3 linked regions of the Saccharomyces cerevisiae S288C genome follow. Changing the gene in region 3 together with the main gene of any one other region gives a genetic interaction. Each region holds a gene or a part of one and is shown on either strand. Other genes may lie near its edges.

Region 1 (6,357 bases), on a different chromosome or scaffold from region 3:
GTCCGGAATATTACTAGTATTAGCGCCTACAAATCCTAATCTTGGAGCTTCGTTTTCTATATCAGTTTGAGGTAAGACGTTGTTTATTTTGAAGTTTGTATTAGGAAGTTCATGAGGTCTTTTGTCAAGATTAGATTTAGAAATTATCGAAGAAAAAAGGTCCATATCCTTCGTTCTTATCTGATATGTTTGAGAAATCGGCACTGTGTAATTCATAGAAATCTTAATAAAATCATAAGAGATTATTTTGTCTAGTTCTGTTGCATCGTCATCGTCGTATTCATCCATCTCGTTTCCGCTCAACAACTTACCACTTCTTGATTTAATATTATTAGTTTGCGTTAGAGCAATTCCTATCCTACAACATTCTCGTAATAAAAGCTCTGAAGAAAATTTGTAGAACTTGTCGACTAATTGGTAGTTTCTTGTACCCTGAGGATAAAAGTGAATGAGGATTGTACAAACCAGCTTAATGTCGTGATACAGCTTATAAAACCCACCTTGTATGGGTTCGTACTCTCCATTTTCAAACCTCTTATTGATAGTTGTCAAAACTAATTTATCTTCATTACGTATCAAACCTTCAGAGTTACTTCTATTTTTAATGAATTTACAATATGATTCATATATCTTATCCGGATTTTTCTCAAAGAACTTGGCTGGAAAACTTTCATCTACTACATGACATTTCACAGAGGCAGCATTCAAAATGGATTGAACATTTACCAAAAAATCTACTAGTTTATTTCCACCTACACTTTCTGTCATAATGAAAACTTTCGATTTTCAAAATTATCTCTTATTTGATCCCGACTGATGATGATTTTCTTCGTCTTCGTATTTCTATCGTCCATGCCTTATGGCGCTGTTTTATTTTCTTAATTGTTTTTTTAATAATTGCAACTTAAAAATACGGGTAACGGAAAAGGAAGATAATAGAAGTTGCATGAAGTAGCTGAAGAATAATTAGTTCTTTCGGGTTGAAAATAATAATAAATAAAGTCTTTATATATGAGTATGTGGTATGACTATTCAAACAGCATCTGGATTTCTTCAATTCTCCTTTTTCTTCTCTCGTCTTCGTCTGTGTCCATGGCCTCACCGATGGTTCTCTTCTTTTCTTGAATGCGTAGCATTTTTTCTTCTATGCTATCTTGTATGATAAATCTCATAACTTTGACGCTGTTTGTCTGGCCAATTCTATGCAGTCTATCGATTGCCTGATCTTCCATACTGGGCGACCACCATGGGTCCATCATATAAGCGTGGGAAGCACACGTTAGATTCAAACCCACGCCACCAGCCTTCAGCGAGAGTAATAGGATTTTTTGCCTGCTATAGTCTTTAACGGCAAAATCTGCTAATACACTAGTTCTTTCTTTTAATGAGAGACGTCCATCGAATTTATAAATTTTTGCAACATCTTTTGAGAAAGTATGAGTTAGCTCTTTCTCCAGGATATCCAAGTATGTAGAAAATTGGGAAAAAATGACAACTTGTTCGCCTGCCGAACTATCCTGTAGCAATTGAAGCTCCTTCAATAAAGCAGTGATTTTGCTTGATTTGGAGGCTGGTGAATATGGTTTGAATTCCAAATTTTTCGAGTTGCTATTCGTTTGTACCAATGCCAACAACCGACAAGCGTCTATTTGGTTACGGCAATTGGGGCACTTTAAACCCAAATTCTTACTGTTCTGAAACTCAATATATTCAAATAAACATTTCTCACAAAAACTGTGGCCGCATTCTGTAAATAAAGCCTTGTCCAAATCCATAGGTTCCGTTGTGCAGATGGAGCACTCTAAGGACTGAAACGATTTATTGTCTGGATATTTAACTTTTAATCTTTGTATCATTGCATCTAATTCCTCCTTAGAAAATGAGTTATCGAATCTCTCGGAAACAACACGCATTAAAGAGTCAAGCTCCACCGTTTGTTCCGTAACCAATTTATTATTTTTAGATAAATCCTCATCGTTCTCATCTTGACTCCCAATAAGACCGGGATGGCAACAGACTTGCCTCAATCTTAAAATATGGACAAGGATAGTGGAGTACTTTTTCAATAAATCACCGCGTGCAATACCCGATTTAACAGAAACTTCAGCCTTATCCAACAGAAACTTGTATAGAAGATCTTGAGATTTACTGAAGGGAAGTCTTTTAATAACGACCTCCTTTGGTGGCAACTCTACTAATGGCTTACCATCTTTATCTTTCATTTGTTTTGTCCTTCTTAACAATACGGGTTCCAGAATTGCATTCACCACATCAAATGCTTGTTTGTAATTTTTACTCTCAAAAGGCGTTGATACAAAGGTCTTCCAGTAATTAATTTGCCGCCAGGGATCTAACTCTAAAAACTTAACCAGACTGTATAAATCGTCAAGCCTGTTAATAATTGGTGTTCCTGTTAAAACCCATTTACATTTGCCTTGTAAAGCCATGACTGCTTTAGATGTAACTGTCGTTCTGTTTCTAATGTTATGACCCTCGTCGATTATTATGCGATAAAAATTGACAGAAAATAAGCCTGAAGATATATTGACGTCCTCATCTGTCATCCTTCCCTTGGAATGTTTAGTCCATTCATTTTGAACAATACCATATGTAGTAAGGACTACAGTTGGAGGGGTTTTTGTCTTGGTTAATAGGGTTTTCAAACTGGAAACATTCCCACCATAATACACCTCATGATACATATCGGGGGAATTATTAGCTTTTGTAAACTCGTTACTCCACTGCGTTAACAAAGACATTGGGACCACGATTAGCGTTGTTTTTGAAGCATATGGTTTCTTATTATCTTGCCAAGTGCTTGGAAGATTATCTGAGACTGCTGTGTTCTCAATATCAAACAGTTTCTTGTCAACAACATCACTATCGTGAGGACAAGATAAAACTAAAGAATACGCTGCCACTGTTTTACCCAACCCCATTTCATCTGATAATATGCCACCCTTTATCATAGTTTTTAATATAGGTTTTGCTAGCGAAAATTCACCAGAATGTAAGTTCGCATAAAAGAATATGCCATCTTCAACGTTTACATGGTCCTGCTGCAAATTTTGAGCTGCCCACGACATATCATTTGGCCATTTGAACTGCTTCCATAATGGGTTTATCATATTAGCACCCGTTTCTGAAGCCTCACCATCAGAGGCTGCTTTGGCAAACTCTTGCTCCCTCCTTAGCATCCAAGTAAGACCTTGCTTTTGATAATTTCTTAGTTCTAGCTTGAAGACATCGCGAGAAGGTTCTGTTTCAGGCAAACTTTTTAAAGATTCTGATGATTGTGCGGCCTTATAAAATGTTTTCAATTGATTCAAGTTCATTGTTTCTTCTTCGTGCTGAGTATCTCGGAGATTGTTATGGACTTCAGTCACTTGATTAGAGCAAATCTCGTCGTTATCTAAATCAATGATTTCGGGGTCACTATTAAGCTCTATTTTATGCTTTTCTAATGCCTTCTGCTCGTCCAAAATAGGCTTTAGCCTCAATTTATCAAATAACTTTAGTAGAGCCAGTCTTTTCGAGCGGCTTTCTAGCTCTTCATCAGTTTCAGTCAATGTTCTTCCAAAATTTCCATTGTCTTTCTCTCTTTTATTTCCTCCCTCTGTACGTCTTCTTTTCATCAAGGATTCTCCATCATTACGTTCCTCAAAAATGAGAGATGTTAAAAAGCAATCCAATTGTAGAATAAAGCTATCACCTATACTCAACCGTTTATTATCACAAAAAATCAATGTAACTTCAAAACTTATTTCGTGTGAACTTAAAAGAGGGTATAGTATTTGAGCAATGTCTTCCGAAACTCTGCCAATTTCTCTATCATATTGGATATCAAAAATTCTTACCAAACTAGCCATGGACGCTTTCTTTCTACCACGTGAGTCATATACTTTAGTAGCAGAAATCTCTTCACTTGATCTCTTTAGCTTCATCTGAGAGCCGTACTTCAAGGGCCTGACGGTGGGTCTGGTAGCCATACCAGTGACTTGCAAAGCACCTATAAATCTTTTCCAAGTAACTTTATCTTCTAATCGTGTTTGGTTTCTGAACCCGTATATTCTTCTTCTTTTAGGATGGAATGAAGATGGGGACAAGGTTGAATTTGAGGTATCTGAGAGTGTATTTAGTTGATTCGGGGAAGACGGTATTTTGCTGATAGACGTCCCGCTATTGTGATCAAAGTAATGTGATAATGCTAAAGAGAGCCCTTCCTCCTGACTGCCGAATTTTTCATTAAGTTCCATCACAAGATCCTTTGGCATTTCTGGAATAATCCTTAAAAGCTCTGTAATAAACTGATTCTGGCCTTCTTCTTCTATTTCTCGCCTGACTGGCACAATAGATCGGTCTCCCTCTCCTTCTGTTGTATCACTCACTGATACAACAACATCATCATCATCATCATTATGACTATTTGCAAATAAAAACGACTCTTTATTCTCAGATTTGAAGTTTAACGATGTTTCTGAAGTGTCAAGGTCATCGTTAAAAAACCTCTTCCTTTCTTCCTGTTCAATATGACTCATATTGTGATACTGTAAGACTTTAGGTGTGTTTCTAAGGCCTTTTGATAATGTAACTTTGTAGATAATTTACTTTCAAGTGAGCAATGCGCTTAGCAGTAAGGAATAATGTGTGGAAAAGTTAAGGGTTTATGACGCGTAAAATTTTCAGCCAGACGACGCGCCAACTAACATGTAAGAAAGTAATAATTTATGAAAATTTAACTACTTATTGATTACTTAATCTTCTAATACAAGTATTTTTTGTTTCTAGAATAGAATTCAATCTATTTATCCGTGCAGAAAGGTCCAGAATGAGGGGTTTTACTTCATTTTGATTTACAAAGCCTTGCTCTTCTGCAGTTAATCTTTTGGATTTCTCTCTGATTATCTCAGAAAGAAACTCTATTATCACTGAACTTTTCTTTCTTCTCTCATTTTCCAACATCAGAAAAAGCAATTCGTTGTCAGTGTCCTGCGATAAAGTTCTTAACTTTTTCTCCAGGTCTTGTCTTCTTTTGATGGACTCTCGTACCCGAAAGCAAAGATTATTTAGTTTGGCTAATTGAAAATTTCTTTCTTTAATAGCAGCTAGCTCGCCTCCTTGGATTAACTCTGATGCAGATTCAAATTTAGATTCAAAGCTCTTTTCCAAAAACTGTAAAGTGTTCCATTTATCCCTTAAGGGATCATCATGCTTTTCAAATTCAAAGGCATCTAGAACATCAGAAACCTTAGTACCATGAAAGTCGATATTGGGATAAGAAGTTCTCGTATTTAAGACCGGCATAATAGGAGTTACTGGAACTGATGTGTTTACAGATGTAAAACCATCTGTTTCACTCAACTTCTTTTCAAGTTTGTTAATATTATTCTTAGCTTCAGCCTTCCTATGCTTATTTAGTATGTTTTCGAGGCGTATAATCTCAGTGATTAATCTGTTTTGTTCCCTTTGAAGATTTTTTTTTTTTCCTTCATCGAAGCTACCTTTATATTTTGGGCTGCTGAGTCAAACCGTTCTTCGCCAGATTGCAAATCCTCTCTTTCAGTCAAATTACCACACGTACTAATCTCTAAAGGGCTATGTTCATCTTCACCCGGTTTTAACGAAACGAAGCTGTCAGAAGAGCGTTTGTTTTCCGCCAAAGAAGTGTTTTTAAATGAAGAAAGCTCAGAATTGATATTGCCCTGCTCCAACACTTGTATAGGGGGGGTCTCTTCAAAGGAGAACAGGCCATACCTTTTGGAATCTCCTTCAGGACTCTTTTCATGTTCACTAGTCAGGTTTTCTCGGACATTCTGCTCGTTAAGATTATCAACTTCACCCAGGAGGCCTTCTCCCCGGTTACGTGCCTCCGATTTTACGTCACCGATTGACTTTATGCTATTCTTTCGAGACAATGGCCTCTTTTTAAAGAAAGTACTCACTCTCTTGATTAACCCAACAGAATTTTGACACTCTTCATTTGGATGTTCCTCAAAACTTAATCTCTGTTGAGCCACATTTCCTGAATATCTTTGAGTTGAGTACTCTTTATTTTGCCAACAATCATGGATAACCGGATGCTGCGGCAAGTCCATGTCCCGAAAAGTATTAGCTACCAACGTCATCTCGACATGGGGAGCGGGCTTTGTGATCATTTGTTTTGGAATCGAATAATGGATAATCCTTTTTGGAATGATCGGTGTCTCTTGAACATACTCCATAATTTGTTCACCTTCCATCTCATATATTACATATAAGGCCACACACAGACACAAGCTGAAACGAAAATATCTATAAATATACACTTCTTAATTTGTATTCAAGATATTCTTATCAAAGCACTTATTTTTTCATTAT
Region 2 (3,578 bases), on a different chromosome or scaffold from region 3:
TAACTCAAATGAATGTTAAGCCCGATACCACGGTAAAACAAGTGAAAGATTTCATATGTTCTGTTTACACTCACTCATTAAACTTGAGGAGAAATGATATCAAGTTGATTTATAAGGGACAGTTGCTTCATGAAAATAATTTTGCAGGCAACTCTTCAAAGATCAGCGAGTACATTAAAGAGCCACATGAAGTGAAGGTCCATGTACAAATCAACCAAGAGTATACAGAATCTGGGCCTGGATTTTGGAATGAAGTGTTCAACAATCCGAATATTTTCCAATTCATGCCTCCAGATACAAGGTCACAGTCACCTGTTAGTTTCGCTCCGACGCAAGGACGATCTCCTGCTGCAATACGTGGCGAAGAACGGGGTATACCATACGTAACCGAATCTGGAAATGACATCGTGCCCACAGATGAGCTTTATAGGAAATGCATTATCAACGGGGATGAAGTAGTATTCATTCCTGTTAGCGAACTAAATCCACAATCGAGCTATTTGTCCGTGATCAAAGGCGATTACGGTGAAATTAAAATCCCCATATCTAGTAATGACTACAGAATTAATGGCGATAATATTTTGCTATCACCATCTGCGATAGAGCAGTTAGAATCTGCTTTGAACTTCAAAATCGAGAGACCACGGGATTCGACACTCTTGCATCCGTCTGGTGAGCATGTTCGAGCTGCAGATAATACCTCTTCGGCAAATGATAATAATACAGTTGAGAATGACGAGTCAGCGTGGAATAGAAGGGTAGTGCGTCCCTTGAGAAACAGCTTCCCGCTGCTATTGGTATTGATAAGAACATTTTACTTAATTGGCTATAATTCATTGGTTCCCTTTTTTATTATTTTGGAGTTTGGAAGCTTCCTTCCCTGGAAATATATCATTTTACTAAGCTTGCTTTTCATTTTTAGGACTGTTTGGAATACCCAAGAGGTGTGGAATTTATGGCGAGACTATCTCCACTTGAATGAAATTGACGAAGTCAAGTTTAGCCAGATCAAGGAGTTCATCAATTCCAATTCATTGACCTTAAATTTCTACAAGAAATGTAAGGACACTCAATCCGCTATTGATTTACTGATGATACCTAATCTACATGAGCAAAGGCTATCGGTCTATTCTAAGTATGATATTGAGTACGACACCAACACCCCTGACGTTGGACAATTGAATTTGCTATTTATCAAGGTGCTATCGGGTGAGATTCCTAAGGACGCGCTAGATGAGTTGTTCAAAGAGTTTTTCGAATTGTATGAAACGACAAGAAACATGAACACACTATATCCTCAAGACTCTTTGAACGAATTGCTGCTGATGATTTGGAAGGAGTCCCAAAAGAAAGACATCAATACGCTACCCAAGTACAGAAGATGGTTCCAAACCTTGTGCTCGCAAATAGCGGAGCATAACGTCCTTGATGTCGTACTCAGATACATAATTCCAGACCCGGTAAACGATAGGGTGATAACCGCTGTGATAAAGAACTTCGTGCTCTTTTGGGTTACACTACTCCCCTATGTGAAGGAGAAGCTGGATGATATTGTTGCACAGAGAGCAAGGGACCGTGAGCAACCGGCTCCATCTGCCCAACAGCAGGAAAACGAAGATGAGGCCCTCATAATCCCTGACGAGGAAGAACCCACCGCCACAGGTGCGCAACCTCATCTCTACATTCCTGATGAAGACTAATTGCAATGCGATGTGGCCACGTTATATAATGCGTTTAAGGTGTACGAAAACCCATGCTGTTCTGGCCCGTCGGGTTTTCTGACAAATTGTCCTTTAGGGATTTTTCGGTTTGGCTCGGGTTGGCAAAGTCGGCTGGCAACAAACCAGGACATATATAAAGGGAGGTAATTCGTCAGATCAATGCCGAACCGTTCTCAACGGGCCTTCCCCTCGTTCAATTGCTCACAACCAACCACAACTACATACACATACATACACAATGGTCGCTCAAGTTCAAAAGCAAGCTCCAACTTTTAAGAAAACTGCCGTCGTCGACGGTGTCTTTGACGAAGTCTCCTTGGACAAATACAAGGGTAAGTACGTTGTCCTAGCCTTTATTCCATTGGCCTTCACTTTCGTCTGTCCAACCGAAATCATTGCTTTCTCAGAAGCTGCTAAGAAATTCGAAGAACAAGGCGCTCAAGTTCTTTTCGCCTCCACTGACTCCGAATACTCCCTTTTGGCATGGACCAATATCCCAAGAAAGGAAGGTGGTTTGGGCCCAATCAACATTCCATTGTTGGCTGACACCAACCACTCTTTGTCCAGAGACTATGGTGTCTTGATCGAAGAAGAAGGTGTCGCCTTGAGAGGTTTGTTCATCATCGACCCAAAGGGTGTCATTAGACACATCACCATTAACGATTTGCCAGTCGGTAGAAACGTTGACGAAGCCTTGAGATTGGTTGAAGCCTTCCAATGGACCGACAAGAACGGTACTGTCTTGCCATGTAACTGGACTCCAGGTGCTGCTACCATCAAGCCAACCGTTGAAGACTCCAAGGAATACTTCGAAGCTGCCAACAAATAAGACGCTTGCAGAGTTGTCTAAATGACTACTTATTTAAAATTCACTCTTTACGTTTATACCTATCTATCTATATATAAAACCCATAAACTTAATGCTATTCACTGACAAAACGATACACTACCGTCTAAGAAGCTATTCACACTAGCTCAGTTCTAATAACAATCATCGTCTGGCTCTAAAACGCGTAAACCATTCACTGCCACACTCACTTTAGCTCTGTTGCTGCCCTTCATACGCTGAGACGCGACGCTTCTTTTCTTTCATATGATTTCCCTTCTAGGCGACACGCCATGCCCCAAACGGGGAACACCGCGAATTCCTTCTGGTGCCCGGTTTCCTCTTTGGGAAGGGCGTCAAAATGGTACAGCTCGCTATAGTCGCCAATTACTGCAGATGCTTAAAGGCTTCTGCAACTGTATGTCCAACCTAGTACGTGGAAACTTCAAACGCGAACAATCTGTATGCTGTTTCGGGCTACTTATTGCTCTATACGGTTTTTAGTGGACACGAACTCTTGTAATTATTATATATATATATGCCTTGGCATTTTAACAAGACTCTATGTTGTGATTTCAGTATGATTTGGGTGAAAACACAGTGGTGACCACAGAACAACGAGGTAACAGTTCCAGACCACTACCTTTCCCCTTCAATCTTTGTGATTTGATCAATTCTTGATGTCACAAGAAACAAAAATGCTACCTTCTCTATCTAGTCTTCTATCGGGAACCGAAATCTCGTCCAGCCCCGTATCACCAAGCTTCACTAATCCAAGAACGAGTTTTCACCTCGATGATCGCGGAACCATAAAATTACCACCGCTAAACACCAGTATCAATCGTCCAAGATCTGTGGAAAGCGCCTTGAGACACACTGTTACATCCTTGCATGAAAATAGCAGCGCTTATGGTGATGACATGCTCAAGCACACGCAATCAGACTCAGCCCTCTCATCTCAGTTGAATAGTTCTCAAGAAACAGTTGATGAATCACACGAAAACCTTCTACTGACTCCCCTAAATAGCAAA
Region 3 (4,612 bases):
TAATAAACGCCAATATTATCATACAAATGAATATGATAAAGAAGGAAAATCCCGTTAAAAAGAAATTTGATATCTCAATTCCAGCTTTGTAAGACACCCTTTTAATACCTCTTAATACTAAAATTTTTGACAGATAGTCATTTGAATTTCTCAAATTTGAAGTGTATAATAAATCATTTTTTTGGGAACTTTCAATACCATTTAAATTACTTGACGCTGATATGATTTTACTGTTCAAGGATCTTTTTTGAACACTGATCGATAAAACTTCTTTATTGCGGTATACAACGGTGGGGGACCCAGATGTTGCGACAACATACCAGTCAAATAACCGCTGCATAAAATTTATCCTTATTATTCCCATTGACCATTGGAAATTTTGAGTCCAAGCGGCGACAATAGGCGGTAAAAATGATACACTAATCATAGCTAAAATAGCCAAATTTTGGAAATATAAAAGTAGCGATATTGAATAAGACGCCAGTCTTGTTGAAGTAACCGTATAACCTTGCAAAGAATAAACCACTGAAAACATAATTCCGGAAATTGTCAATATCACTAGATTCCACGATAAATACTCTGTTTGGACTGTTCTACCATTTGATAACATCACTTGTACACATGCTAGAGGTTTGGTAAATTCTTTATCAATAGTGGAGTATGCTGTCACCACAATATATGCGTCTAAGTCAGGTATATTATATGTTATGCTTGGTATTTGGCTAGCTACCGCGGCCTCAACATAATAACTTCCCATGAGTTCTATATTTCCCGGCTTCAACGGACATAATAAATTATCTTGGATTCCACATAGATCAAAAACTTTGGTATAAACATTGAGACCATATGCAATCAATTCTGCCTTGATGGTTATGTTTTCGCTCATAATTGTTTGTGCTTCAACATTAAAGAATAGAGTATTATTTCTCGGGAAAAAAGCAGCTTCGAAATACGATGCAGAAAACTGTGAGTCTTTAGCACAAGTCAACAGAGCCGAAGTCCTTAGATATTCTTTAGTATATGCATCAAATGGTACTGGGAATAGAGTCGATGCGTTGTTCAGTAGTGTAAAAGAGTTAGAAACCTGGAAAGTAGAGCTGTTAATGGAAATAGCGTGTATTTGTCGGAAGATTGCTAGCAAAACAAAAATCCGAGATAAAGAGAAGACTTTAATGGGAAGCATACTTATTCTCTTTACATCTATAAATCAGAGAGGTTAAATATTATTTAAAATAGCATTACGACTTTGCTTCATCATCCTTCCAAAATATTGACACTGCATCATTTTTTAAATGTGTCAGTAATTCGGGCACAAAAATATAAATGGACCGCCATGAACTAAAGCTGTCGTCGATATGGATCGCTCCATAGCAGCATTATAAAAATTAAAAATGCATCAATACCATGCTACAGTAATAACAAAATACAGCATGGATTACCACTACATATTCATCATGTCATGCATTATAGTTGTAACATATGCTGAACACCCATTCATCACGTGTAATTGGACATCCGTGGAGTTCCAAAAGGAGTATAAACGCAAATAGTAAAGCTAAGATATAAGTAGTGTCTAAGTAAATGACTTCTTTGTAAGCGTACAGCTAAAGTTTACCGATGAGTTACGATAAGAAGGCAGATGTCACATCCTTAGATGAAGATTTGAGACAACTAAGAGAAAGCAAATTTTCACCGGAAGCAATTCAAAATATCAAAATATGGGTATATAAATCTGTCCTAAAAGAGATAGCTCCTCCTGGAGACTTATTGGAATGCTTGAAAGATGGAACAGTCCTATGTAAGCTGGCAAATATTTTATATGAAGCAGACACAGGAGAAGCTAACCATATTAGTTGGAAGAGCTCTAAAATGCCATTTGTTCAAATGGATCAAATTTCCCAATTTTTATCATTTTCGAGAAAATATGGTGTGCCTGAAGATGAACTGTTTCAGACAATTGATCTTTTTGAGAAAAAGGATCCTGCCATTGTTTTCCAAACGTTGAAGTCACTATCTCGTTACGCCAACAAAAAACATACAGATAGATTTCCAGTTCTAGGACCACAACTGTCAACAAAGAAGCCAAGACCCCCGGTTAAGTCTAAACCAAAACATCTACAAGATGGTACTGGATGGAGCACTTTTGAATACGGTTATATGAAAGGTGCATCTCAGGCTACTGAAGGAGTGGTGTTAGGACAACGGAGAGATATAGTTTAGAGAATTATTATTAACACTTTCTCTGGCAGAAATTGATAAATAAACATTTAAGAACCCTATATACGCAACCAAAGTTCCTTTGATATATTTTAGTTTTCCATCAAAGTTTTCCTACATAAACACTAAGGTGGCTAGAGACGCGTAACAAAAGTTAACGTTACCGGTAAAAATGTGATTATACAAATCAATCTCACAGAACGGTGTGGAAACAAAGTAGTTGAAGGATTTCAACTATGCGAATCAACAGTGAGCTAGCGAACAAGTTTTCTGCCTCAACGGTGCACTTAGAACATATCACAACTGCTTTAAGTTGTTTAACACCTTTTGGTTCTAAAGACGATGTGCTTATATTCATTGATGCTGATGGGCTGTCATTTGTCAGGGAGAATAATCATGTGATAAAAATCCAACTACTGTTATCTCGGGAGCTATTTATGTCTTATTCGTATAGAAATGAAACTGAGGATCACATGAAACTTTGTGTAAAAATAAATCATATCTTAGATAGCGTTAGCGTGATGAACAGGAATTCGGATGACATTGTTGAGTGTACTTTATCTTATGATGGACATGGATCACCATTTGTACTAATATTTGAAGACTCGTTCATTTCTGAGAGAGTGGAGTACTCTACCTACTTAATTAAGGATTTTGATACTAATGGACTAGAACTCGATAGAGAAAGGATAAGCTTTGAGGCAATTATTAAGGGCGAAGCCCTTCATTCAGCCTTAAAGGATCTAAAAGAAATCGGATGCAAAGAGTGCTATGTATATGCAAAGACCGAGGCGAATGATGAGAATGTATTTGCCCTGATATCTAAATCTCAGCTAGGATTTTCTAAAATAAAATTACCCAGTAACAGATCCATACTAGAGAAGTTACAAGTATTTGACGGAGATTCCACAACAGTAATAGATGGTTTTGCTGTAATTGGGTTCTTCGATTTCACCTCGTTTGATAAAATCAGAAAGAGTACTAAAATTGCAAGCAAAGTCCTTTTCAGGATGGATGTTCATGGCGTATTGAGTGTAAATATTCTAAGTCAAACAGACGATGTCATTATCACTGATACTACAAGACCTTCAAATAATCGACCAGGTAGTATTCGCCAACTGCAGCTACCCAAGGATTATCCCGGTATAGTAATTGAGGTTTGCATGCTAGAAAAAGAATCCATAGATGAGGCAGCACAGACAGAAATAGAACTCCTGATGGAGACTAATGAACTTGGCAATCGTAATAGTTTTAAAAAATCAACTATAAGAAAAAGATATGGTACAGATAAAGGCAATGAAACTTCAAATGACAACTTGCTGCAATTGAATGGGAAAAAAATTAAACTACCATCTGAAGAAGAAAACAATAAAAACAGGGAAAGTGAGGATGAAGAGAATCACTGCAAGTATCCAACAAAGGATATTCCTATATTTTTTTAAGTCAATATCCAGCATCGCAGAAAACGCAGAACTTCATTCAGCATTTGGTAATTTTATAACATATAACTTACAATTAAATAAAAGTTTAACTATATATTATTATGTGATCTAACTCTAGAAAAAGTACTAATGAACATCACACCGTTTATTGTTGGGAGAAGTGTTCCATGATCATGGACAATTCATCAGTTTCAGCACCCCAGTTCTTGACAACAACAACGGAGGCACCGACAACCTTTCTGGCGTTACCTTCACGGTCGATCTTACCCAAACCAGCCCATTCACCTAATTGCTTAGCATCAGCAACCTTGATCAATGGAACCTTGTTTTCTGGGTCGTTAGCCAAACCTTCAACCAACTTGATAATGTTAGCTTCAGTAACAGAGCTGACCAAAACAACCAATAAAGCTTCACCTCTGGTTAAAGCCTTGGTAGATTCTCTCAAACCTCTAGCTAGACCATCGTGAACCAAAGCGGTTCTCAAAACAACCTTCAAAGCATCTTCGATAGTAACTTCGGCAGTTTGTTCAACAACAGTTTCTTCTTGAACTTCAACGACTTCTTCAACGTCAGACATTTTTCTTCTCAATAATATATAGTCTAGTTTTTGACTTCTTCGACAGTAAGATAATTAAACTGCTCCGTGAAGAGTTTTGAATTGGGAAAAACAATTGAACAAGGAACACTTATAGACCTGTTGTGATAAGAGATGACATAACTTTTATAATATGTCCTGCGGAGAATTCGATGAAATTTTGCAAATTGTAAGTTTGCTTGAAAGTTTGCTTGCGGGTAAGGTATTCTGAAAAAAATAAAATGATTCCACAATGGAAATGTGAAGATGTTGTAAACAAATCAAATGTACGGATGCACAATGGTAAACAGTACTGGATTTCTTTTTATATCACCGTTGAGCCGAAACAAACCCCGAAATAACCATTTAATATGCCAAG

The links. A genetic interaction does not mean that the proteins touch.
Region 1: mutations in RAD17 (region 3) and RAD5 together harm fitness more than expected from each alone (negative genetic interaction), as found in Saccharomyces cerevisiae (8 studies listed by BioGRID, with this or other methods).
Region 2: mutations in RAD17 (region 3) and TSA1 impair growth when combined (synthetic growth defect), as found in Saccharomyces cerevisiae (5 studies listed by BioGRID, with this or other methods).

The regions. Positions count from the first base shown.
Region 1 is NC_001144.5:203,172-209,528, reverse strand, and holds RAD5 (DNA helicase RAD5), read right to left. Parts: upstream 4,539-6,357; coding exon 1,029-4,538; downstream 1-1,028. Other genes in the region: RSC58 (Rsc58p), read right to left, coding at 1-768; YLR031W (uncharacterized protein), read right to left, coding at 4,744-5,304; YLR030W (uncharacterized protein), read right to left, coding at 5,448-6,239. UniProt on the Saccharomyces cerevisiae protein: Probable helicase, member of the UBC2/RAD6 epistasis group. Functions with the DNA repair protein RAD18 in error-free postreplication DNA repair.
Region 2 is NC_001145.3:218,179-221,756, forward strand, and holds TSA1 (thioredoxin peroxidase TSA1), read left to right. Parts: upstream 1-1,959; coding exon 1,960-2,550; downstream 2,551-3,578. Other genes in the region: USA1 (Usa1p), read left to right, coding at 1-1,700; YOX1 (Yox1p), read left to right, coding at 3,228-3,578. UniProt on the Saccharomyces cerevisiae protein: Thiol-specific peroxidase that catalyzes the reduction of hydrogen peroxide and organic hydroperoxides to water and alcohols, respectively.
Region 3 is NC_001147.6:1,024,390-1,029,001, forward strand, and holds RAD17 (Rad17p), read left to right. Parts: upstream 1-2,453; coding exon 2,454-3,659; downstream 3,660-4,612. Other genes in the region: YOR365C (putative flavin adenine dinucleotide transporter), read right to left, coding at 1-1,183; SCP1 (Scp1p), read left to right, coding at 1,618-2,220; 40S ribosomal protein eS12 RPS12, read right to left, coding at 3,805-4,236. UniProt on the Saccharomyces cerevisiae protein: Component of the checkpoint clamp complex involved in the surveillance mechanism that allows the DNA repair pathways to act to restore the integrity of the DNA prior to DNA synthesis or separation of the replicated chromosomes.